Linked DNA regions of Saccharomyces cerevisiae S288C. The gene in region 3 interacts genetically with the main gene of each other region. Each region holds a gene or a part of one and is shown on either strand. Other genes may lie near its edges.

Region 1 (7,306 bases), on a different chromosome or scaffold from region 3:
AATCAATATTTTCACTTTTTTGTATGACATCCTTCAGATCGTTGTACAGATTTGATGTTCTGCGGTGAAAATAGCGAACTAAATTTTCAGCGATCTGTATTTCTGAATTGTTGGGTTCTGGGCCAGAAACGTGCCTCGGAATCTTGAAATTATTTGCAAGGTGATATGGCGCTACCAGATAGCCTGCAGTAGTTAAAAGAAAAAACCCATCAATTAAAAACTGTAGCCATGATATGGGTTCTGTCACCTCATGATGTCGACATGTCGCATTTGTAGAGGCATCCTCTTGTAACTCCCCCAGTATAAGTTTTTCATACACCTCTAAGTCAAGAGGAGTTGCTTTGTTTTGTTCACCAGATGCGGTAAGAATTTCCACTTCTTTTTCTGGTGATTCTTCTATAGTTGAGCTCGAAGTAAGTTTGACTACTATGTCGTAAATTTCAGGCTTATACAACAAAATTTCCTCGCTGGTCGTAGCCACATAACCGTTCCCCTTTTTGAACGACTCTAGAAAAGGAATATCTGATGTTGATACCGTGAAAATAGGCTTAATATATTCATCGCTTACATGGTTTCCTATCAAGTTTTTTGGAAGCATTGATATTAAGAAGACACAATAGGCCAAAGAATTGCACAATTCGAACGATTCTCCTTGAGGAACTAGTATCAATATCCTTGACTGAAGGAGACTTGCTTTCCAAAGTGGAAATATGAGAGGCCCTAACTTCCTTGTCCAGTATGGCAAATATTCAACCAAATGCCGTCTTTCTTTGGGTGAATGTTCAAAGACTTCTACTGAATTTTCAGCCATGTGCCCTTGGTTATTCTCGTCAAAAAACTTTTCAAAAATATCAAACTTATCAAGATCACGCTGCCTTATCCATTGACCGAGTAAACTTTCTAGATAGCTTGAGTATCTGTTGGCAGCATACGCATGGTATATTTCCTTATAAAAGTGCTTTTTACTATCTGATGAGGCATTTTGGACATCGATAATTACACCAAGAGAAAACATTTGAACTTTACTCCTATCAATACGATTGTCATTCTCAATAATATCGAACGAATTTTGTTTGAAATAGGCGATGCCGTAATCATAAGTTGTCGTCTTGGCAGTTTGACAGACATCTAATTCTTTAGGAACTACAAAATTGACAACATCGTCAGTTTGTTCGTGAATACCGGCTGGTAACGATTTAAATTCAATATTGCTTAAGTCAATTGCCGCACCATTAATACTTTTAGACCATATTATGATATTTCCCTTTTTCATGTCAAATTTACTTAAGAAGATGCAAGCAATTCCCGGTTTTTCACCATTTGAGTTTAAAAGTTGAGTAATATTAAATACATTTGGCTTTATAGTTGGTTCTTCACCTCCGGAATTCATAGTGCTTCGAGGAACTTACTTGATCCTTCTTGAAGTAGCTATTAAGTTGTTCGAAATGAAGTAATTATTAAAATAGAAGTAAATCATTAAATGATGCCGCTCAACAGAGGTTATGCCAAATTAGTATATAGCATGATTTTACATCACTTTAAACGTATAATTTGTGAATGATGAGGTAGCAACAAATAAACAATGCAACAGTCTCTAGTCCTATGAACTAATTTGGCCTTGAAAACCCCCCGATGATACTTCTTTAGGTGTTACAAACTTACTCGCATAGATATTATTTTTTGAACGCCAGGTTAACAATAATTACTTAGCATGAAATGTCACCTCGACAGCTTATACCGACATTAATTCCGGAATGGGCACCATTATCCCAGCAATCGTGCATAAGAGAGGATGAGTTAGATAGTCCCCCGATAACGCCTACGAGCCAGACATCTTCATTTGGTTCTTCTTTTTCTCAACAGAAACCAACCTATAGTACAATTATAGGAGAAAATATACACACGATCCTGGATGAAATTCGACCATATGTGAAAAAAATAACTGTTAGTGACCAAGATAAGAAAACTATAAACCAATATACGCTAGGAGTCTCTGCAGGAAGTGGACAATTTGGTTATGTACGAAAAGCGTACAGTTCTACTTTAGGCAAGGTTGTTGCTGTCAAGATTATACCAAAAAAACCTTGGAATGCCCAGCAATATTCAGTAAATCAAGTAATGAGGCAAATCCAGCTTTGGAAGAGTAAAGGAAAAATAACGACAAATATGAGTGGTAATGAGGCTATGAGACTTATGAATATCGAAAAATGTAGGTGGGAAATTTTTGCGGCTTCAAGACTTCGAAATAATGTTCATATTGTGCGACTAATAGAATGCTTGGACTCTCCTTTCAGCGAATCTATCTGGATAGTCACTAATTGGTGCAGCCTTGGTGAACTACAGTGGAAACGTGACGATGATGAAGATATTTTACCGCAATGGAAAAAAATTGTGATTTCAAATTGTAGTGTTTCTACATTTGCCAAAAAAATCCTGGAGGATATGACAAAAGGGTTGGAATATTTGCATTCTCAGGGTTGTATTCATCGTGATATCAAACCGTCCAATATTTTATTGGATGAAGAAGAAAAAGTAGCGAAACTTTCTGATTTTGGAAGTTGTATTTTCACTCCCCAATCATTACCTTTCAGCGATGCTAATTTTGAAGATTGTTTTCAGAGGGAATTGAACAAAATTGTTGGTACTCCGGCATTTATTGCACCAGAGCTATGTCATTTGGGCAATTCCAAAAGAGATTTTGTGACGGATGGCTTTAAGTTGGATATTTGGTCATTGGGAGTGACACTATACTGCTTACTGTACAACGAGCTGCCATTTTTCGGGGAAAATGAATTCGAAACCTACCACAAAATCATCGAAGTATCATTGAGTTCCAAAATAAATGGTAATACTTTAAACGATTTAGTCATTAAAAGGTTATTGGAGAAAGACGTTACTTTACGCATAAGTATTCAGGATTTAGTAAAGGTTTTGTCGCGTGACCAGCCCATAGATTCTAGGAATCACAGTCAAATTTCATCGTCCAGTGTGAACCCCGTAAGAAACGAAGGTCCTGTAAGAAGATTTTTTGGTAGGCTACTGACTAAAAAAGGAAAGAAAAAGACCTCAGGAAAAGGGAAAGACAAGGTATTGGTATCTGCAACTAGTAAAGTAACACCTTCGATACATATCGACGAGGAACCGGATAAAGAATGTTTTTCGACTACGGTCCTTAGATCTTCGCCAGACTCGAGCGATTATTGTTCATCGTTAGGGGAGGAAGCCATTCAGGTTACGGATTTCTTAGATACTTTTTGTAGGTCAAATGAAAGCTTACCTAATTTGACTGTGAATAATGATAAGCAGAATTCGGACATGAAAACTGACAGAAGCGAGTCATCCTCTCATTCGTCATTGAAAATCCCAACACCTATCAAAGCCATGATAAGACTAAAGAGTTCCCCTAAAGAGAACGGGAACAGAACCCATATTAATTGCTCACAGGACAAACCGAGTTCCCCACTAATGGATAGGACTGTTGGAAAGCGCACGGTTAACAATTCAGGGGCTAGAAAGCTTGCTCATTCAAGTAATATTCTCAACTTTAAAGCATACATAAATTCGGAAGATAGTGACATTCGAGAAACAGTAGAAGATGTAAAAACGTATCTGAACTTTGCAGATAATGGTCAAATATAGATGAAACTACAGGATGATATCTGTCGGATTGGGTTAGCTGATAATCGTATAGCCGATGTGAAATATGATTATTAATTGATTTACTTGGTTATGGTAAATACATAAATATATATATAGAAACGGCAAATTACCCACATTTGCATTTGTATTAATAACACTAAAGATAATATTCATAATATACCATCATTGATAATTGAAATCGACATCAACATTTATCAATTGAGAGTTTAGTGGTCTTCTATTGCGAGAATATCGAACGATATGATTTATCTTGATCCCACTGTGTCGCGAAATCGCGGAAGTAAATTGAAAACAAAAGAAAAACAAAACTTCATCGATAAATATTGAGAAAACATCTCTTAAAAACAGTAGTAGATAATCTTGAGAATTTACTTTATAAAAAACAGAAGAAGGACTGAATATAGAAAGAATACTAATATAACATAATCATGTCAAGTAAACAACAATGGGTTAGTTCTGCTATTCAAAGTGATTCGAGTGGAAGATCACTCAGTAACGTCAACAGGCTTGCAGGAGACCAACAATCTATTAACGATCGTGCGTTATCGTTATTGCAGAGAACAAGAGCGACAAAGAACCTGTTTCCAAGAAGAGAGGAAAGAAGACGTTATGAAAGCTCAAAAAGTGACCTAGATATCGAAACAGACTACGAAGACCAAGCAGGTAATCTAGAAATCGAGACAGAAAATGAAGAAGAAGCTGAAATGGAAACTGAAGTACCTGCACCAGTGCGAACTCATTCATATGCCTTAGACAGATATGTTAGACAGAAAAGGAGGGAAAAACAAAGAAAGCAGAGCTTAAAGCGCGTCGAAAAGAAATATACTCCTAGTGAATTAGCTCTGTACGAAATTCGAAAATACCAACGTTCCACGGATTTATTAATCTCCAAAATTCCATTTGCAAGGCTAGTGAAAGAAGTTACAGACGAGTTTACAACTAAAGATCAGGATTTACGTTGGCAGTCAATGGCGATTATGGCGTTACAGGAAGCAAGCGAAGCGTATCTGGTAGGATTATTGGAACATACAAACCTCTTGGCGCTGCATGCAAAAAGAATTACTATAATGAAGAAAGACATGCAACTAGCAAGAAGAATCAGGGGACAGTTTATTTAGTGATATTTGTGCTTCAGGGCTGGAGCCGATTTTTCCCTTTTTCGGGGTTTATATTGACTTAAGGTACTTTAAATGTTTTAAATAAGGTTATTATAAGGTCATATTAGCATACCTTTCGGTTCGACAAGTGCTCTCCGCTGTTGACAGTTTTTTTTTCATGTTCACTTGTTGGCTTTGTAAGACATTTTTGGCAGTCCCCTATATTTCGCGATGAAGCTCCAAATCAAAGGTTAAGGGTAGAGGTTATTTCTTTTTCAGACTGATTAAGGGATACTTCTGCAGGATATACATGATGGAAAATGATGCACTCAAAGATGGTATTTAACACATGAAAATCTTCATAGAAAGCACCATGTTTTCTACAATGTCTAAACAAAAGTGATCACATGAGTTCAAATCAGTAGTTTTAGAGTGTGATTGACAATAAAACTTTAGGAACAAGTACAATACTATAATGTCACTAATATCTGCGTTGCAAACCACCGATGTGGAATCTGTCCAGACGTCCCCTGAGCAAATTACTGAAAGAAAGGCGGTTAGAGTATCCACTTTGCAAGAATCGCTACATTCTTCTGAAATGCATCGCGCTGCTCCAGAAACACCTCGCTCAATTTCAAATAGCGTTCACAAACTGAAAACTATATATTCTACTTACCAGCAGAGTGGACAACCATTGAGTAAAGAGGCGATATTCCGTGCGAAACAGAAGTATGGCATTTTGAATACTCCGGCTAATTACAAAACACTTGGTTTAGGAGACTCCAAGAGTGAGTCAGTTGATCTTGCGGCCCGTTTAGCTAGTAAGAGAACGAAAGTCTCGCCTGATGACTGTGTCGAAACAGCAATCGAGCAAAAGGCCAGAGGTGAGGCTTTCAAAGTAACCTTTTCCAAGATTCCATTGACCCCGCCTGAAGACGTCCCAATAACGGTCAATTTAGGTCTGAAGGGAAGGCGTGATTTTTTAACAAGATTAGCTGCACAAAAAGCATTGGCTTTCAGTCCTTCTTTAGACAATTCCATGAAGGGCACCTCCGACAGTTCCAGTGTTAAAAAAAAGAGGTTTTCTGGTGCCCCTATTGGTAATGAGTTTGATGCAAACTTAGTTAATCCACAGCACCCTGCAGGTTTCAAATCCCTCGATTTATCTAAGGTATTGGATGGAGCGGAAAGAAGGGCGATTAGCAGAGTTAATGACAGGTTGTATCCCCAAAAGGTAAACTTTAAAAATGGATTACAAAGCAGCGATCAAAGTGGTGTATCAAAAGCTAACAAAGAAGTTTTTAAGAAAGGAACTTTGGAAAAACTTGAACATTCCGCAGAGCAGTTCTTAGAGTCTCATGCTGGTAATGAAAGACAAAGGCTAAGTGATCAACAATATATGTGTGCAAAGGGTGCAGCTGATGCAGTTAAAGATCTTGACCCGAAGACATTGGAAGACCCAGATTTTGCTGCAAGAGAGGCACAAAAGAAACTGTACATAAAGCAGGTAGCATCTCCGGTAGTGCTAAATGAAGCTCAAAAGCTTGCGAATAGGAAATTGCAGGATATTGACTCGCGCGATACTTACATGCTTTTATTTGGTAACCAAGCTTACAATAAGCTTGCTGTTAACATAGCTCTACAGCACTATTCTGTTAAACAAGAAGAAAAAAAGAAAATATATTTGGGTGGTGGTTTGTGGATGACTCCAGAAGAGGTTAACGCAGTCGCCAAAAAGTTGATATCACCAGTGGTGAACGAAATTGATGAACGAGCCAGCAGACAACGTGATGTTGATAAAGATATTGAGAGAAGGTCAAGAGTTCTTGATCAGGAATATGAGGATGGGAATTCTATGGAACGTGCAAAAGAGCAAAACGACGGGCAATTATTGTTAGCGATGGCTTCAAAACAACAACAGGAGAAAGAAGCTAAAAAGGCCGAGGAGGGACAACGGTATGATCAGTTCGTACAAAAGATGAATATCAAATTACAGCAGAAGGAAAAAGAACTTGAAAATGCTAGGGAAAATCGTGAAAATCTAAGAAACGAACTACAGGAAAGGTTGTCCAAGAACCTGTCAGGAGAGAATGATGAATTGAATGATTGGAACGATGCATGTGAAAGAGATCTCAAAAATTCGAGCATTGAACACTATTATGCCGTCAGATCACACTTTGACAATTTGGGAAATTCGGAAAGAGGGTATGATGAGCTTTTGGAGGAGCGCAGCAAAATACAGGTAGAAATCGAAAGACTTGTCGCTTCCATTGCTGAACATAAAACTGCAATCCATGGTTTTGGGGAAACAGCAGATGCTGGTGGAGCTATACCAGCTGTACAGAAACAGAAAATTCCAACAAGGAAGGACCTTCTTGATGCTACCGTGAATGATCCTTTGGTTATTTCTGCAGAAATGGCAAAAGAAGAAGCAGAAATGGCTACAGAAGAATGTATGTTGAAAGAATTACAGGTAGATGAAATGATTATAATCAGGAACATTATGCTGCGGGAGTGTGAAAAGAAGCTCGAAGAGGAGAAGGAAACGG
Region 2 (10,102 bases), on a different chromosome or scaffold from region 3:
CCTATAAATATACGTGTTGACTGTGCCTTCTCAATCGCCACTGTGCAATCTCTCATAATTTTTACTAATTTCGCTTGGTCTGGCTGTAAAAGAGAATTTATGTCTGGAATGATAACAATCTCAAATTCCTTAACATGTGTAGTTGCTAACGAGTCCAAGCTTGCAGTTGTTGAGTTCAGAACCGTGACCTTTATTCCTCCGCCCGGATAAGCGTCATTGATTGCCCTCTTCAGTTGTATATCACAAGTACTTGGCATCGAAGAGGCTAATTTTTCCTTTGAGACGCTGTCTCTATACATACATAGAAAGCTCTTTTTAGCTGTAACAGAAAACTTCAAACATGTCTGAAAATCCGGCAGATTATGATCGCCCATTCCTATTTTTGCCACATCCAATCAATAATTTTGCAGCTCCGATTTTGCAGGTGTTGCTGTTCAATGGAAGTAATCGTTGTTATAAAGGAGCACATCACCAAGTCCTCTAAGGCTTAAAGGTTTGTCGTTATGCACGTAAAAGATGAAATTTTTTTATGGCTAGATGAGCTCATCGCGATTTGAAGAAAAAGAGTAAAGAAAACAATGCTAAGAAACTACAATAAGAGCAAGTTGCATATCATCGAATAATACTAGTGGGGTTTTCTAGTTCGTTACAGCCAACAACAGACAAAAGATATGGCTAAACTTGTACATGATGTTCAGAAAAAGCAGCATAGAGAACGTTCTCAGCTAACTAGCCGTTCCAGATATGGGTTTTTAGAAAAGCATAAAGACTATGTGAAACGTGCTCAAGACTTCCACAGGAAGCAGTCCACTTTGAAAGTCCTCAGAGAAAAAGCAAAAGAGAGAAATCCAGATGAATACTACCATGCTATGCATTCAAGGAAGACAGATGCAAAAGGACTGCTGATCAGCTCACGTCACGGTGACGAAGAAGACGAATCGCTTTCCATGGATCAAGTTAAATTACTCAAAACGCAAGATAGTAATTATGTGAGGACGCTGAGGCAAATAGAGCTGAAAAAGCTGGAGAAAGGAGCGAAACAGTTGATGTTCAAAAGCAGTGGGAATCATACAATATTCGTCGATTCCCGAGAGAAGATGAACGAATTCACCCCAGAGAAGTTTTTCAATACCACCTCCGAGATGGTGAATAGATCTGAAAATAGATTAACTAAGGACCAATTAGCCCAAGATATTTCAAACAATAGGAACGCTTCATCAATAATGCCAAAGGAATCATTAGACAAAAAGAAATTGAAAAAGTTCAAGCAAGTCAAGCAGCACTTACAGAGGGAAACTCAATTGAAACAGGTCCAACAAAGAATGGATGCTCAAAGAGAATTGTTGAAGAAGGGTTCCAAGAAAAAAATCGTAGACTCTTCAGGAAAAATTTCATTTAAATGGAAGAAACAACGGAAACGTTAGATTTTTACCATCTATATAGTATATATAAGTGAATCAGGCAGACGTTCCGTAATCCTTCTTTTCATGTTTTATAGGATTACGTTTATAAAAAGTATTCACTTTTCTTAAGTGTCTTTTGCGCCATCAAAAAAAAAAGGATTTTGAGGCACCGGAAAAAAAAGAACCCCTCTCCGAATGGGAGTATTTAGGACAAGATTTGTAAAGTGCTCCCTTTTTGAGCAATACTACAGATCTATAATGGGGAACAAACTCATACACGATGGACAAGTATTTGAATTCATTTGTTGACCACCTTTCAGAGTGGTCATCTCGTGCCTTTAGGAACAATTCATCAAGCGCTAACCAAAGTGCGTCGAACAAGGAATTAGAACAAGTTTTTGAACAGATCAATGCTATAGTTGAAAACCACAATAACAAATTAACCACTGCCTTTGATAAGATATCATATCGCGTTGCTCACAAGATTACACACTTGGTGGAAAGCCATTCTTTAGTATTCAACTACGCCACTTTAGTTCTCATCGCAAGTGCTTTGGTCGTTATTGGCTCATTTACGTCTATTTCTTCTATTCCATTTACAGCTCTACCTCCTACGAGAGAACACTCATTGTTTGATCCTACAGATTTTGATGTGGACCACGACTGTCATGTTATCTACCGCGAGAATGACGAAGATAAAAAGAAAAAGAAGAAAAGCAAGAGGTTTTTCGATATGATGGATGAAAAACATGCGATTATACTGCCCTTAACTAGTGGCTGTACTTTACTCGCTCTCTATTTTGTGATCAAGAAACTACACCTAAACTGGCTAAAATATGTGGTGAAAATTTTGAATTTTAATATAACACTGCTAAATATCCCAGCTGGCACATTTGTCTACTCCTACTTTCTCAACTCACTTTTCAGAAACCTATCACATTTAGCTTCTTGGAATCCCCTGGTTGTTTTACCAAGGTATCGTGTAACAATAGCTGATGATAACGAAGACCTGAACAAGATAGGCGGGTTTGTTACCAATTTGAATTACAAAGATGGATTGACCAACTCAGTTGTTCACAAGAAAACATTGGATGAGATTGAAAAAGATCATTGGATGAAGCATTTTTACAGAAGAGAATTAGTTGAACCGAAGGATATTAAATCGAAGAGGCAGATCAGCAACATGTATTTGAATAGCGCATTAATTGTTTCGTTCGTTCTGTCCATCGTTTCTACCGTATATTTCTATTTATCACCCAATGATTGGTTAATATCCAATGCTGTCAGTATGAATATGGCTATTTGGTCCATTGCTCAATTAAAATTGAAGAATTTAAAATCAGGGGCCCTAATCCTAATTGCTCTATTTTTTTACGACATTTGCTTTGTCTTTGGTACCGATGTAATGGTTACAGTAGCTACTAACCTTGATATTCCCGTAAAACTAAGCTTACCAGTCAAGTTTAATACAGCTCAAAACAACTTCAATTTTTCAATACTTGGTCTGGGTGATATTGCCTTGCCTGGTATGTTTATTGCGATGTGCTACAAATATGACATCTGGAAGTGGCACCTTGATCATGATGACACTGAATTCCACTTTTTGAACTGGTCATACGTTGGAAAATATTTTATTACTGCTATGGTTAGTTACGTTGCTTCTTTGGTATCTGCCATGGTCTCCTTGTCCATTTTCAATACTGCTCAACCGGCTTTATTATACATTGTTCCTTCCTTGTTGATTAGTACTATTTTGGTAGCTTGCTGGAACAAGGATTTTAAGCAGTTTTGGAATTTTCAGTATGATACGATTGAAGTGGATAAAAGTTTAAAAAAAGCGATAGAAAAAAAGGAGAACTCTATAACTTATTCGACCTTCATCCTATCAGAATACTATAATGATGCCGACAAGTATGCCTTGCTTGGTGATGATGTAAACGAAAATTTTGACGATGATGAAGAATTCGTGCAAGAGGAAGATCTCAGTGACAGCTCTGAGGAAGAGCTTTCTGAAGAAGATCTCTTGGATGACGAATCTTCTTGAGCTCCAAAAGAAACGACAGCTCTTTTTACCCCTCCAGGGTTGTATTTATCTTCTAATCTAGGACAATGTTTGTAAAACCCTCTTTCTTTCCTTCGTGTCTCATGTCTCTCCATTTATTAATGTTCTTTTAAACTATGTTTTCTCACGCCTGTCCATTCGGTTCTCGTACGTTAAATTTTTCAAATTATTGTTGTATAATTATATAACATCTATATAGAATTTATGAACGTCCGGCATTTCGAATTACTCTCTCCACATCATCATTAAACTTTTCAAAGGCTTTATTGGAACTTGTGTTTGAATGTTTGCTTCTTTTTTTTACAGTAATTACCGTAGATGCATTGGGTGTGCTAGTAATCTTGATTTTGAATTTGAAGTTGCCTTTTACAAATTTACAATCGTATTCCACCACCTTTCTCCCAAATTTGTGATCTAGGTTCTTTAATTGATAGTCGATACTATTCTTGTTGAATTCATTTAATGTTAGCATATGCGCATCATCAAATGATATATTCGTTACATGATTCTTGGATGCCTTAGTAGCATTATTATGAGAAGAAAAGTTTTGAAATAGTTTGACGAACCAATTCTTTTTATCACTGGAAGGCGCTTCTTCAACTTCAACATTTTGGACACTTTTTAGAATTGGCTTTTTTGTATGGGTTTGTGTATTTGATTCCATAGCGGTATCCTTCGTAACTTTAATCGTTGAGGGTTTTGGTATTTTAGAGTAGTTATTTTCTGTATTATTTGCATTTTCCTTTTTTTCAACCACCGGCAACACAAGTTGAGAAGATTCCTCGGATATTTTATTGTCTAGCTTGGTATGCTCTTCTTTAATTTTTCCCCCACCTACTTTTTTAGATTCTTCCTCCTCCTCATCGAAAAGCATTGTCACTCGTTGTTTTGGATTAACGCTTTCCTCAGATGGTCTTCGCTTTGAATAGCTCATACTTGATTCAAGAATATCAGCTTGAGAAGTATGCCCATCTTGATCTTCCTCCAAATCTTTGAACATTGACTGTAAACTTTGAGAAATGCCTAATGCATTACTATCACGACTACCACGCGTGGAAGAAAACCTCTTTTGCATATGTGTATTAGAAGGATTTTCTGGTGACAATCTAAGTTTAGAAAGTATCTCTTCAGTAGTCTCTCTGGGTATACCAGAACTGTTATTATTCCAATAAAGACTTACTCTAACATTTGTCGCGGGAGTAAGAACGTTTGTTGTCGCCATAGTGTCAATAGATACCGCTTTCCTATGCACACTTGCTCGTGAATCGCTTTCTGAAGAAGATGTATTTAATGAACCCTCATCGGAGGGCGCATCTTCAAAAATATTAATGGCTTTTTCATCATATGTGTTTGGTATAGTATAATCTGGAATATAATTAGTATCGCTATTATCTGGTTCTTTTTCCTTCGAGATATAGGCTGCCGATTTGATTACTTTTTCTTTTGTAAAAGAAGATGCTTTGGGCGAAGTATTGATTTTATTATTGTCCGTGTCGTTGTTCATCAGTTGAATCGCCTGAGCGGTAAAGGTGTTTGTTGGTATTTCCATCGCAAATGTCATATCAGAGATTCCATCCAGATCATTACTCAAATAGGAGCCAGGTGAGCCCTGATTACGTTTAACGGATAAATTGGCGTTCAAATTAGACCGTGGAGTTAGAGATATTTTGGCAGATTGTTTTCGCAAAGGGTGTGACATGGCTACACTTCTAGATTGGTTCTGTGGCACACTTAGATGCTTATCATCACCGTCATCAGCGAGTATCTGGCTAAGATTTTTGAACGTCATAGATGTGTTCAAAAAACTAGAAGGTAAAGACAGCATTGGTTTTTGAATTGTACTAGATTCTGCTAAAACACTGGGATCTCTCGAAGATGTTGCTACTGTTGTTAAAGGTACATATGAACTTTCGATTGAAACATCTGAGGCTTTGACTGGTTTTTCGTCTTCCACATGTTCACTCATGAACAAGGAACCTCTCTCATGGGTCCAGTGAGAGGCTGGCTCCTTTTTGAATTTCAGTCCCTGCAATAGTGATTCCACTTTTGAATTCACTGGCTGGGAGATGTTACGGCGGGGATCTAGAGATAAGGACGGTTTACCTTGATCATTAGGCAAAGAATTTACACGAAGTTCTTGGTGCTGAATAGGTTTGAGTGGTGACGGGCGGTCATTTTTTTTTTGAAGTTGTTCTCTTTGAATCTTTTTTTCTATCCTCATACCTTCCTGTTTATTCATTTTATTGAATGAGTTCGTGATATCTGAAAGGGCCGCTCTCTTTGGCTTCTGTTCTTCCAAATAACTTGAGCTTAACGTGTTTTCTTTTTCAAAGATAGGAAATGAAGAGAGCCCTGACATATTCTCAGATGGTTTATATGACATATTGAATTGATTTTTCTCAATTTTGGTTGGATACTCCGGGCCCTCATTTTCCTTATTTGTAGACACCCCAGAGATCGTAAAAGTGTCTGCCGAAGATTTTGTATCGTTTTGCCTCTGTCTTTGGGTGTCGCGTTCTTTTTCATTGTCCTCTTCCTCTTCGAGTATCCTATCTAAGGCGTTTCCAAATAAGATCTGATCGCATAAGATCTCAAAATCAGAGTCTGATTCCAACGAATGGGGTTCTGATTTATTCACATTTTCGGATGCTGGTTTCTTACTAGGGAGAGGATCGTCAAAGACTAATAAATCATTCAGGTTCAAGGAACGTTTTGAAATTGACTGTAATGAGTATAAGGATCTCTTTGAAGCCGAGTTTTGTAGTGTTCTTCTAGCGGCAACAGTTGCAGCTATATTCTTCCTCGAAAGTGATTTATGTATTGATTTAGTAGATGGGGAGGCGTGGATTGCCCTTCTTGACAATGAATATCTTGAAGGCGACTTCGGCAGTTGAGGTAGAGGCATCTCATTATCATGCACAGTTTCTCTAGAAGTTGAAGCGGACAATGATAATCTGGAATTCGATAAGCGTAGCGATCTTCTCGAACGTGATGAAATAGAGGTGTATGAGTTACGGAAAATCCTTGATGAAGAAGCATTGAATATGGGAATAGCGGGTGGTAATGTTACAGCTTCTGCTTCAGCCTTATCACTTTCAGGTTGACTGAGCGTATTGATACTAAATTGCGATTTTTGTGCCAATACAGGGGCATTAATTTCTGTATTAACCCCTGTAATTGCGTTGTTCTGATTCACTGTTGAAGTATCTTCTGAATGAATTTCTAGAGAATGTAAAGTCTTCACATCATTGTTCTCGCTCCTTAGGCCTGTATTATTGGCAGTTTTGGATGCGTATTCAATCCTAGGTTCATTTACGCTACTTTCTGTTGCTGATTTCTTGTTTTCGCTTGACGAGGACAATGATATTGAGTGACGTTGTTTATATTGTAATAACAGTGAGTAGAATAGTTTTTCCTCCGACATTGGCTTTTGAAGCAACTTGGCAGTGATTAGTTCACGAGAAACTCCATGCCACAAAATTTGCAAACTCCTCAAGATGGATTCATCAATTTCCCCTTTTGAATGTAAAGTTACAATAGAGGGCGAGACATTATTTAGCAAATGCAAATCCGAGTTAGATTTTCCCCTCGCCATGTTATCCTTTCTCATTTTCCTCAGCACTTTATTAACTGGGAGATCATCATATTTTTTGATCAGAGGATGCTTCAATATCTCTTGAGTGGTAATTCTTTTTTCTGGATCAATTACCAATATTTTTGATATCAAATCACGAGCCTCAGAAGATAAATTTGAGGGCATTTGATATTTGCCCGATTGAACTTTCAACAACAGCTTTTTGATGTTGTCATCATTAAATGGTAAATGACCGGTGAGTAATGCAAATAAAACGATACCGCAGGACCAGACATCGCTAGGACCGCCATGATATGGTCTACCCATAACAATTTCAGGAGACGCATAGTGTGGAGAGCCACATGAAGTTTTTAAAAGTTTATTAGGAAGCTCTAATGCTGCCATGCCGAAATCAGCAATTTTGATTCTCCTATTCTTTTTATCTAATAATAAATTTTCAGGCTTCAGATCACGATGGCATATATTAAAAGAATGACAATAGGAAACACCTTCAACTATCTGCTTGAAGTAATGGATAGCCTCCCTTTCAGGTAGCTTTCCCTTCGAGACCAGATAATCGAATAATTCGCCACCATCAACATATTCCAAAACTAGGTACAGCTCTGATTTGTTCTCCCAAACTTCAAACAATGCCATAACGTTTGTGTGAGATATCAATTTCATGATTACTATTTCTCTCTCTATGCCATATGGGTTCGTTTGAGAATGGTTACTATGTTCTCTAGATGCTATTGATGGAGAAGATACATTGGAAGTGACCATGGAAGAAGAGTAAGAATTAGGAACAGTTCCATTATTAGAACAATGAACAAAGGCTTTCTTCTTGGGGACAATTTTAATGGCAGCTAATTGTCCTGTTTCCATATTTTTAGCCAAGCGAACCCTACCAGAAGATCCCTTCCCCAATGTTTTGCCAAGTTTCCAAGGACCCACCGTGTCTCTGGATTTTCTCTTTGATGATTTTGTAGCAACACTTACGGTAGAGTCGGGCTGAGATAATCTTTTGGTAGCGTCGTTCACAGATTGTACAACACGCTCCAAATGCCCCGACGCCCTTTTTGGATTCGAATTTACTTTGGCCATGGCCCTTTTAGCTGCCTTCTTGGCCAATGAAGACGGGCGACCTTTGGGTACGTGGCTCGTTTTTGAAACGTGACCAGTCATGTCGTGTGGTAAAAATAAAAAATATTAATAACAAATAATAAAGGAGTGAATATAGTTGGTTGTTGATTTATTTATCAGTATTTTTTGTCCCGCAAATCTATGTCGTTCTTTTTACCTTGTCTTTCTTGTAATTTTATTATTTATCTCTTTTCGCGATTAGTAGCAAGTAGTATGATGGATATCCAACCTATTTGATGATCTATTTGAGTTCAACTCTCTGTTTTAATGGCCTCTCGCTGTCCAATTTACGTCCTTGCAGTCGGATAACTAGCGAACTTACGATCCAAAGGGAGTTTTAAGAAGAAACAGGTTTCGAGCAAAAGGTAACTTGCTTATATTAAGAACGCCAATAAGAGTGGCCACTATAATGCTGCTCCCAGCCGGTACAAGACGGTACGGTACGTGATGGAGATTAGTTTTCACTATTTAGCCCAAACAACCCAACGCGAAAATGACCACGCGAAAAGAAAAATTAGTAAAAATATTTCACAACGCGAAAAATAAGGACGAAGGCAACACATTCCACCTTCCCTGTTATTGTAAAACGCACAAATGTGTGCTTTATTCGCTGAGGTTTCATCGACAGCTGCAGCCAGTTGTTCATTCGGTGTTCTCTTGTGCAGCGGCTCAAATTGTGGCAGGCTTGTAGGCTCCGAACGCCGTAAGGTACTTTATGTTTTTAATGTCAACGTTTGCAAGAAAATGTCATCCTATTACTTTCTGAGGCATGATAACATTGTAATCCCTTATCTCTTGCGCTTGTTGGTATCAGATAAAGAAGCATCAAACAAGAACCCACTCCTTCCTTTTCTCATGGATAAAGAGAGGTCGCACCATTTCGTGAGGAATATGAATTAGTCAGCTTCTACTTTAGGGTATAGGTTGCAAACTTCCGTTTTTCTCAAGGTTTAATCAGAAGCATAATAGGTCTTCGGATGATTTCTTGTCTAATTCAAAAAAAAAATAATCTGGGATAGGTTTTTCGGGAAAAACAACTAGGGGTGATGCTGTTTTGCACCTCTATTACTGTAAGATAGGCTATGCAAGCAAACGACAGTAAGAAAGAATAGGGTTAAGTGAAATAGTTGACACACCCCTTAATCGTTCCATTAGATAATAAAAATTCATTTATAAGCAGTTGACTTCACAGAACAAGACATACACTGTATAGAGCCTGATCAGTAATCTTAGTGCAATTGTAGAAACCTGCACAACCAACAAAATTAAGAAAAAAAGAATGGAGGAACAACGTGAAATACTGGAACAATTGAAGAAAACTCTGCAGATGCTAACTGTAGAGCCATCTAAAAATAACCAAATCGCCAACGAAGAAAAGGAAAAGAAAGAAAATGAAAATTCGTGGTGCATCCTCGAGCACAATTATGAGGATATTGCACAGGAATTCATTGATTTCATTTACAAGAACCCTACCACTTACCATGTAGTATCATTTTTCGCGGAGCTGTTAGATAAGCATAACTTCAAATACTTGAGCGAGAAATCCAATTGGCAGGACTCCATTGGCGAAGATGGTGGGAAATTCTACACTATAAGAAATGGAACTAACCTATCTGCCTTTATCCTGGGCAAAAACTGGAGAGCCGAAAAGGGTGTCGGTGTCATTGGATCTCATGTGGACGCTTTGACGGTCAAATTGAAGCCCGTCTCCTTTAAAGACACAGCGGAAGGTTACGGAAGAATTGCTGTTGCTCCCTATGGAGGTACACTGAATGAATTGTGGCTAGACAGAGACCTAGGTATTGGTGGTCGCCTTCTTTACAAGAAGAAGGGCACTAACGAAATTAAAAGCGCCTTGGTTGATTCTACACCCCTACCTGTTTGTCGAATTCCTTCCTTGGCTCCCCATTTCGGTAAACC
Region 3 (6,449 bases):
CAACTCCACCATCAAGAACCACTCCTTGGTCAAATCTACCATCGTAGGCTGGAACTCTACCGTTGGTCAATGGTGTCGTTTGGAAGGTGTCACTGTCTTGGGTGACGACGTTGAAGTTAAGGACGAAATCTACATCAACGGTGGTAAAGTCTTACCTCATAAGTCTATCTCCGATAATGTTCCAAAGGAAGCTATTATTATGTGAGTTAGGAAAACGAACTGTAATGAATATAATCTATATCACTCATCTGTTTTTGTTAATTTTATTTTAGCCAATATCATTATAAAAAGAGGAAAACATGCACAGAAAAAGCACTGCTTACTGTTATGTCTTAGTTTGTAATTGAAAATGAAAAATAAAAAAAAAAAAGAAAATAAAGAAAAAAAGGTTGATCCTTATGTAACTTTTTATTTACGTAGAAGTTAATAAATATTATCTCATTGTTTTATCTATTTTTCAGTATATGGATACATGTAAAGTTCCTCTATTTATGTATATTTTATGCATGACTATTCGCGTTTGAGATTGTGATGATCTGTTCTGCGCCCTTATTTTTATTATTGTTGGCTATCAATGTCTGTAGTATTACATCCAGCGAACTATCTACTTCTTCAATATTCATTTCCGTACCTTCCCTGATAATCCGTCTATATTTATGAATCTTGGCATTGTCTTCAAATTTCTTCACCAAGGAACTCAATTTGTTTTTCCTTTGTAATTGCAACATCGTTAGTTCTTGAGCCAATTCCAACCTTTCCAGCGTATTATTATCTTTCTCAACTGTGTTATTGGTGGTAGCCTGAGTTTCATCTTCTATTAATTTGTTCAATAAAACCGTTTGCCTGTATTCCAGCTTTTGTTTTATCAACCGTTTGTATCGTATGAGCCTTTTTCTCAATTTCTTAGTATTTTGTTCTTGTAGACGAGATAAAATTTCGAAGTCATCATTAGTCTGAGCTTCGCCGTTTTCATCTTTACTGCTCTCTTTCAATACCTCTAAAGTTTTTAGGCTTACCTGTATTTTCGTCTTAGAAATGCTTTTTAAAGTTTTTTGCAAACTTTTTATTTCGTTGTCATGCTGTTCATGAAGATCGTTGTATATGCTAGCCATTTGCTTCATAGAATTCACTACATTTGGAATATTTCTTGATATATTGGTGGCAATTTGAGATGGATAGGTTATGTAATCCGAAGGAGAAACAGGCGACATGATTACCATTGAATTAACATCATTTTTCGTTTCAATGTTGTTTGTATTAACGTGGATATTCAAGTCCGTGTTTGAAGAATTGACATGTTGATTTGTACCATTTTGTATCATCATTTGCTCATATTGTTGATTCATTATTTCATTGGCGGTTAATCCTTCCTTATTGGAAATAGTAGTTAATGCACCCATTTTGACCAGTGTATTAAAAAAAACAACATCTCCATTTTTAGAAGCAATATGAAGTGCGGTATCGCCATTTTTGTCTTGTGTGTTTAAAAGTAATTCAATTCTATACTGTGGGGAAAAATCCTTGATCTTAGATAGCACAACATCAAGATAATAAACTGCAGAAGGTGTTGTTGATTTTCGTTTCACAATATGGTGAATTACTGTTTGTGATTGCGAATCGATATCAAATACGGTCTCGTGCAGTAGCTGGAAAATTCTAGGGAAAGTTCTTCTAGTGTATGAATTGTGGAATAAGGAACTTCTCATCAATGGAGTTTGGCCTTGAGAATTTGTCGATCTGATACTTGTTCCGGCTTCGTACAACGCCTCAGCAATTGGTAAATTACCCATAGAACAAGCCCAATGGAAGGCAGTATGTAATTCTGGATCGATTGGAGCATCTATATAGGGAGCGCTGTGTGGAGGTGGGTGCAATAACACTTGTGGTAGGGACTTATTTGACTTCATTTCATTGGAAATAAAATAATCAACCAATTTTGAAAGGTATTTGTTAACTTTATCATTAATATCCGATGTTTGAGGCCTTGAAGTTACAGGATAACGCGGGATCATGGAAATAATAGGAGATGTTCCACCACCGGGAAATCGCTCTTCAAATGGATTACTATCGGCAAAATCGCCCGGTGACGTAGGTAATGAAGGAGAGGAAGATACGGACGTGGCCATTGATTCTGTTTGCTGTGTCTGTATCAAGGAAGATTGTTGTTGGGGTACAAATCCAGTATTTTGATTAAAAACTTGTTGTAATTGTTGTGAAGGTTCCACATCGCTTGATAAGCCGTCCTCAAGATCAATTTCTTTGAACTGTGCAGAATTATTTTGTTGCGGCTGCTGCTGTCGAGAATCGTGCCTTTCTTCTTCCAGAATACCCAATGTAGGGGATTGTGGTCCCATGGTGGATCTAATAGAGGGAAGTTGCGTTGTCGATATTGAAGAATTCGGTATCGCCGGTCTAGGAAATCCCATATCACTTTGAGAACGTTGTAAATTGACACCTAACTTCCGCCTACTTCCCCTCGTAGATCCTACCGGTCTACCTCTTTTCCTTGGTGCAGCCGTGGGATTTCCCAATATTTTGCTGCTTTGAAATTGATTTTCCTCGGCTTTCTTGTTGTTTCTTTTTGTTTCCATAATTGCGGAAGTACTTGCACTTCTAATAGCCTTTTTCCTATCCACCTTCGAGGCATGGTGATGTTTTGGAGCAGGAGGTGGAGAAGCAGACCCATCTGTTTGCGTAAAGTCGAACAACGGTTTCAGCTGATCGTAGACACTAAATTTTTCTGCCAGTTGTTTCGCTATGTTCAGTGGGACCCATGTACCCTGATATTTACCAAATCCACCCTGAACTTTTTCATGAGTTTCCTTAAGTACTTCCTTCTCTAGAATCCTTGTTCTTTTAGCCTTGGCAAAATTGGCGGCCTTTAAAATATGTGTAGCATTGACCCAATCATCCTTTTTCCTTTTCATGATAGATCCTGTAGAATGAATGAATTCATAAACATCAACCCCCGAATATCTCGCTGAGTATATTTGGTTAGACATGCTTGTGTTTCTGGGATTTACGTTGTGTCTCGGAATGTTAAGCACGATTTTGCAGACCAATCGCACTTGATATGATGTTTAGTTATATGAATTACAATGGGCTTTATTTTCCGATGGCTCAATCTTGTGCAAGTTATGTTGATTTTGTTTTCTTTTTTTCATTTTTTCATCTGTTGATTATACTAATCGGATGGAAAAACAAAGCAGTAGTAATTTAACAATCTAACAATCTCAAGCGCAAGAGAAAAAAGGAACGTAAATGAATTATCTCTAACGGCTAATGGATGCTGAACATGTGGAATACCAGTTTAATCACGATCAGAAATATCGTCTCACAGCGTAGTATTGCCTCTATTTGATCTTAAACTGCAATGCCGACGACTTTATGCGGGTGATCCCGCAAAGTGACCAAACTCAGCACAAGACTTATCTTAGATTAATATGTAGTTGTATGGTCTATGTATCTTGCAGGTATTCCATAATTAGATCAACTACTAGTGGTGAGTAGTTGACTCTACCCCTCCTTATCGGTAAGCCTAGCGCGTTGGGATCACCTTCAATGCCATAATAATTGTGGTCCGCATTTTCAATAAGTTTCAATGAATGTCTGCCCTCGAAAAGCCTTGCATAATTTGAGGCTGCGCTAATTGGCACTATGTGATCACACATGCCATAGCAGGACATTACTGAACAAGTTTGTGGTATCGTGGCAAATTCCGGAACGCAAACGCCAGCGATACTATAAGTCTCACTTAATGGTATCCAAAAGTCTTTGTATTCGCCATTTCGTGGACCATTCGCCCAAAACCCACCTTCTGCTTGCCAATGCGGGTGCAGTCGTGTGCAGCGTTCAATAAGTCCTCTCCCATCATATCTTCCAGCGCAATTGATCAGGTGAGACGGTAATGGAGATTCAGCTGCATGTAATTTTAGACAGAATTTGAACATGGCAAGAGATCCTCTAGAATGTGCCACAACCACGTCCAGTGATATTGTACTAGTTTTGTACAATTGCACCCTAAGAGACCTGTCAGATACTGTTTGGTATACTGTACTCAAATCTTCAAGATCCTGAGCGAGCGTCCTACCAAGGCCAGGGTCGCAGTTATCTGAGGAATCACCTTGGCCCCTAAAATCTATTCTTAGTACCCAATATCCGAATTCGGCCAGCCTTTTTGCTAGTAAAGTTTGATAAATAGCGTTCTTGTGAGATTGACTTCCGTGTAGTAACAATGCTAGTTTATTTTCCTTGCACAGTAATTTACCATCTTCTTTATTTGCAGTTGATGAATTTCTCTTTTCTGGGTATGAAACTATAGCCGCAATTTGATAAGATAAGCCGTTCATTGTACTTGTAATATATACGAATTTTTCATTTGCTTCCAATTTGATATAGGAGGGGGGAGCACTTTGTATTTGCACAGTGACATGTTTTTTTTCCATTTCGACTTGGTTATTTGACAAATATTCCCTTTTCTGATCTTTTTAGTACTTTCATCACTCCTGTAGATCTGCATCGGCTTTTCGCTATTTTTCCTTGGCTTATTATAATGCGTAAGCGTTTCTCGACAGAGATATTGCGACGCTGAGAAAAAAAAAGGAAGTTCTATGCAAGGGACATTAATGATATATTAGACAATTGTCTACGTGAGCTCACATATTGTTTGCACAAACTATACTTTAATTAGAAGGCGTGAAGTAATGTTAGATGTTATAGAAAATATAACATTTAGTGTCAGTAAAATGTATATATGCATATATAATTACAAAAAAGTAGTGCTGCCCACATAATCAAACAGATCGTTCAAGCGATTTGTTTATGCACATATTTTAACTCTATCATGCCACTTGCCCTTCTTCCTCGTCTTCTTCATCATCTTCTTCATCATCCTCTTCATCCGAACTAATTTCAACGCCCAAATCCTTCAGCTTTGAGCGATATTTGGCGTTTTTCTCATCTAGGTCAGTAACCAAGAGCATCAAGTCATCAATTTCCGAACGATCTTCGTTAGCTTCCTTCAACTTAGAGTTCTCTGCCTTCAAGTTATCCAGTTCTTTAGCCAACTTTTCAATTTCTTGTCTCTGAGAATCGGTTGTCTTTTTAACAGTATCTTCATCCCTTTTCCATGCTTGCTCTTTATTCACCAAATCGTTGTATTTAGTTTCAAGCAACATGGCTTTTTCATCAAGTTGAGACTTTTCGACTTGAAACTTCCTGACTTCGGCCCTACGTTCTTCCTCGGATTTTTGTGCCTTCTGTTGGGTGCTATCTAATTCCTGTTCTAATTCCTTGAGGCGCGAAGTTAGTAATTCTTTTTCTTCTTGATTACTTTTTATTTCGGCTTGCTTGTCTTTGAGTTCACGTTCTATATCTTCTAATTTAGATTTCAAAACTGTATTTTCTTCTGCGTTGATCCTTATTTTTTCTTGTGCGTTATTTAGCTCTTGTTTTACGGTTTCTAGTTCAGAGCCAGATTTTGCTTCGATCCTCAGTTTACTTTTCAGTTCTTCAATATCCTTTTCAGATTCGTTGATTCGGGATATCAAATCTGACTTCTCATGTTGCAAGTTTTTAATATCCTCCTCAGCACTTTTTTTCGACTGTTCTAATTTTTCATCTGATTTCCTTATGGTTTCCATTGAGGATTTCAACTCCGTTTCATTGCTCTCAATCGTACTCTCTAGCTTTTTCATCATTTCTTTAGACTTTTCAAGCTCTGCTTTCTCTTTTGAAGATTCTTCCTCAAGTTTTTTCAGCCCTTCTTCAACTTTAGCTTTGGATTCTTGTGCAGCCCGGAGTTGTTCTTTCAAGCTCTCCAGGTCTCGTTTATTATCTCGCTCTATTGATAGAAGCTTTTCGTCATTTCTAGTTATTTTGTCTTTATATGAAAGAATTTCATCTTGTAAGCTTTTTATTGTGTTTTGTTTCTCTTCTAAAAGCTCATCATTGCTTAAACTAACCTTCTCTAGTTCACTCCTCGTATTATCGATCTCTTTGGCTTTTAATTCGTTTTCATTTTGTAGCCTAATTAATTCATCTTCCAAAGTATTGATCTTTTCAGAATATTCTTGTGTAATTGTTGAAGATCCTTCATTAAGTAGCTTTCTTTCCTTTTCGAAGGCCTGATTTTTGATTTGTATTTCATTTTTCAATTTTTCCAATTGCTCCTCTGCATTTTTTCTTTCCTCAGAAGATGTCTTCTTCAATCTAGACAACTCAGATTCTGATTTCTCCTTGGCCTTAGATAAATTAGTGATCTTTTCCAATTGAATTTTTAGTTCAGTCGTTTTAGCATCTAGTTCTTCTTTTATCTTCTCCGATTCCTTCTGTAGCTCCAAATATTTAGAGTTCTTATCTTCTGAGGCCTTGAGTTTGTCTTCCAATTCACTAACTTCCTTTTCTTTAAAGTTACATTCGTCTTGTAATTCTTTAATTTTTACCGTTTC

The links. Genes that interact genetically often act in the same process or in processes that back each other up.
Region 1: mutations in MBP1 (region 3) and ELM1 together harm fitness more than expected from each alone (negative genetic interaction), as found in Saccharomyces cerevisiae (4 studies listed by BioGRID).
Region 2: mutations in MBP1 (region 3) and HSL1 together harm fitness more than expected from each alone (negative genetic interaction), as found in Saccharomyces cerevisiae (6 studies listed by BioGRID).

What each region holds. Positions count from the first base shown.
Region 1 is NC_001143.9:343,547-350,852, reverse strand, and holds ELM1 (serine/threonine protein kinase ELM1), read left to right. Parts: upstream 1-1,716; coding exon 1,717-3,639; downstream 3,640-7,306. Other genes in the region: ANR2 (Anr2p), read right to left, coding at 1-1,390; centromeric DNA-binding histone H3-like protein CSE4, read left to right, coding at 4,089-4,778; LPX2 (Lpx2p), read left to right, coding at 5,233-7,306. UniProt on the Saccharomyces cerevisiae protein: Important role in G1 events required for bud emergence and septin organization. Coordinates cell growth and cell division at G2/M, essential for efficient cytokinesis and for regulation of SWE1.
Region 2 is NC_001143.9:247,042-257,143, reverse strand, and holds HSL1 (protein kinase HSL1), read right to left. Parts: upstream 8,225-10,102; coding exon 3,668-8,224; downstream 1-3,667. Other genes in the region: MTC2 (Mtc2p), read right to left, coding at 1-374; rRNA-processing protein UTP11, read left to right, coding at 672-1,424; YPF1 (aspartic endopeptidase), read left to right, coding at 1,684-3,447; YKL102C (uncharacterized protein), read left to right, coding at 8,777-9,082; metalloaminopeptidase APE1, read left to right, coding at 9,462-10,102.
Region 3 is NC_001136.10:349,430-355,878, reverse strand, and holds MBP1 (transcription factor MBP1), read right to left. Parts: upstream 3,003-6,449; coding exon 501-3,002; downstream 1-500. Other genes in the region: PSA1 (mannose-1-phosphate guanylyltransferase), read left to right, coding at 1-205; YDL057W (uncharacterized protein), read right to left, coding at 3,459-4,445; USO1 (Uso1p), read right to left, coding at 4,842-6,449. UniProt on the Saccharomyces cerevisiae protein: Binds to MCB elements (Mlu I cell cycle box) found in the promoter of most DNA synthesis genes. Transcriptional activation by MBF has an important role in the transition from G1 to S phase.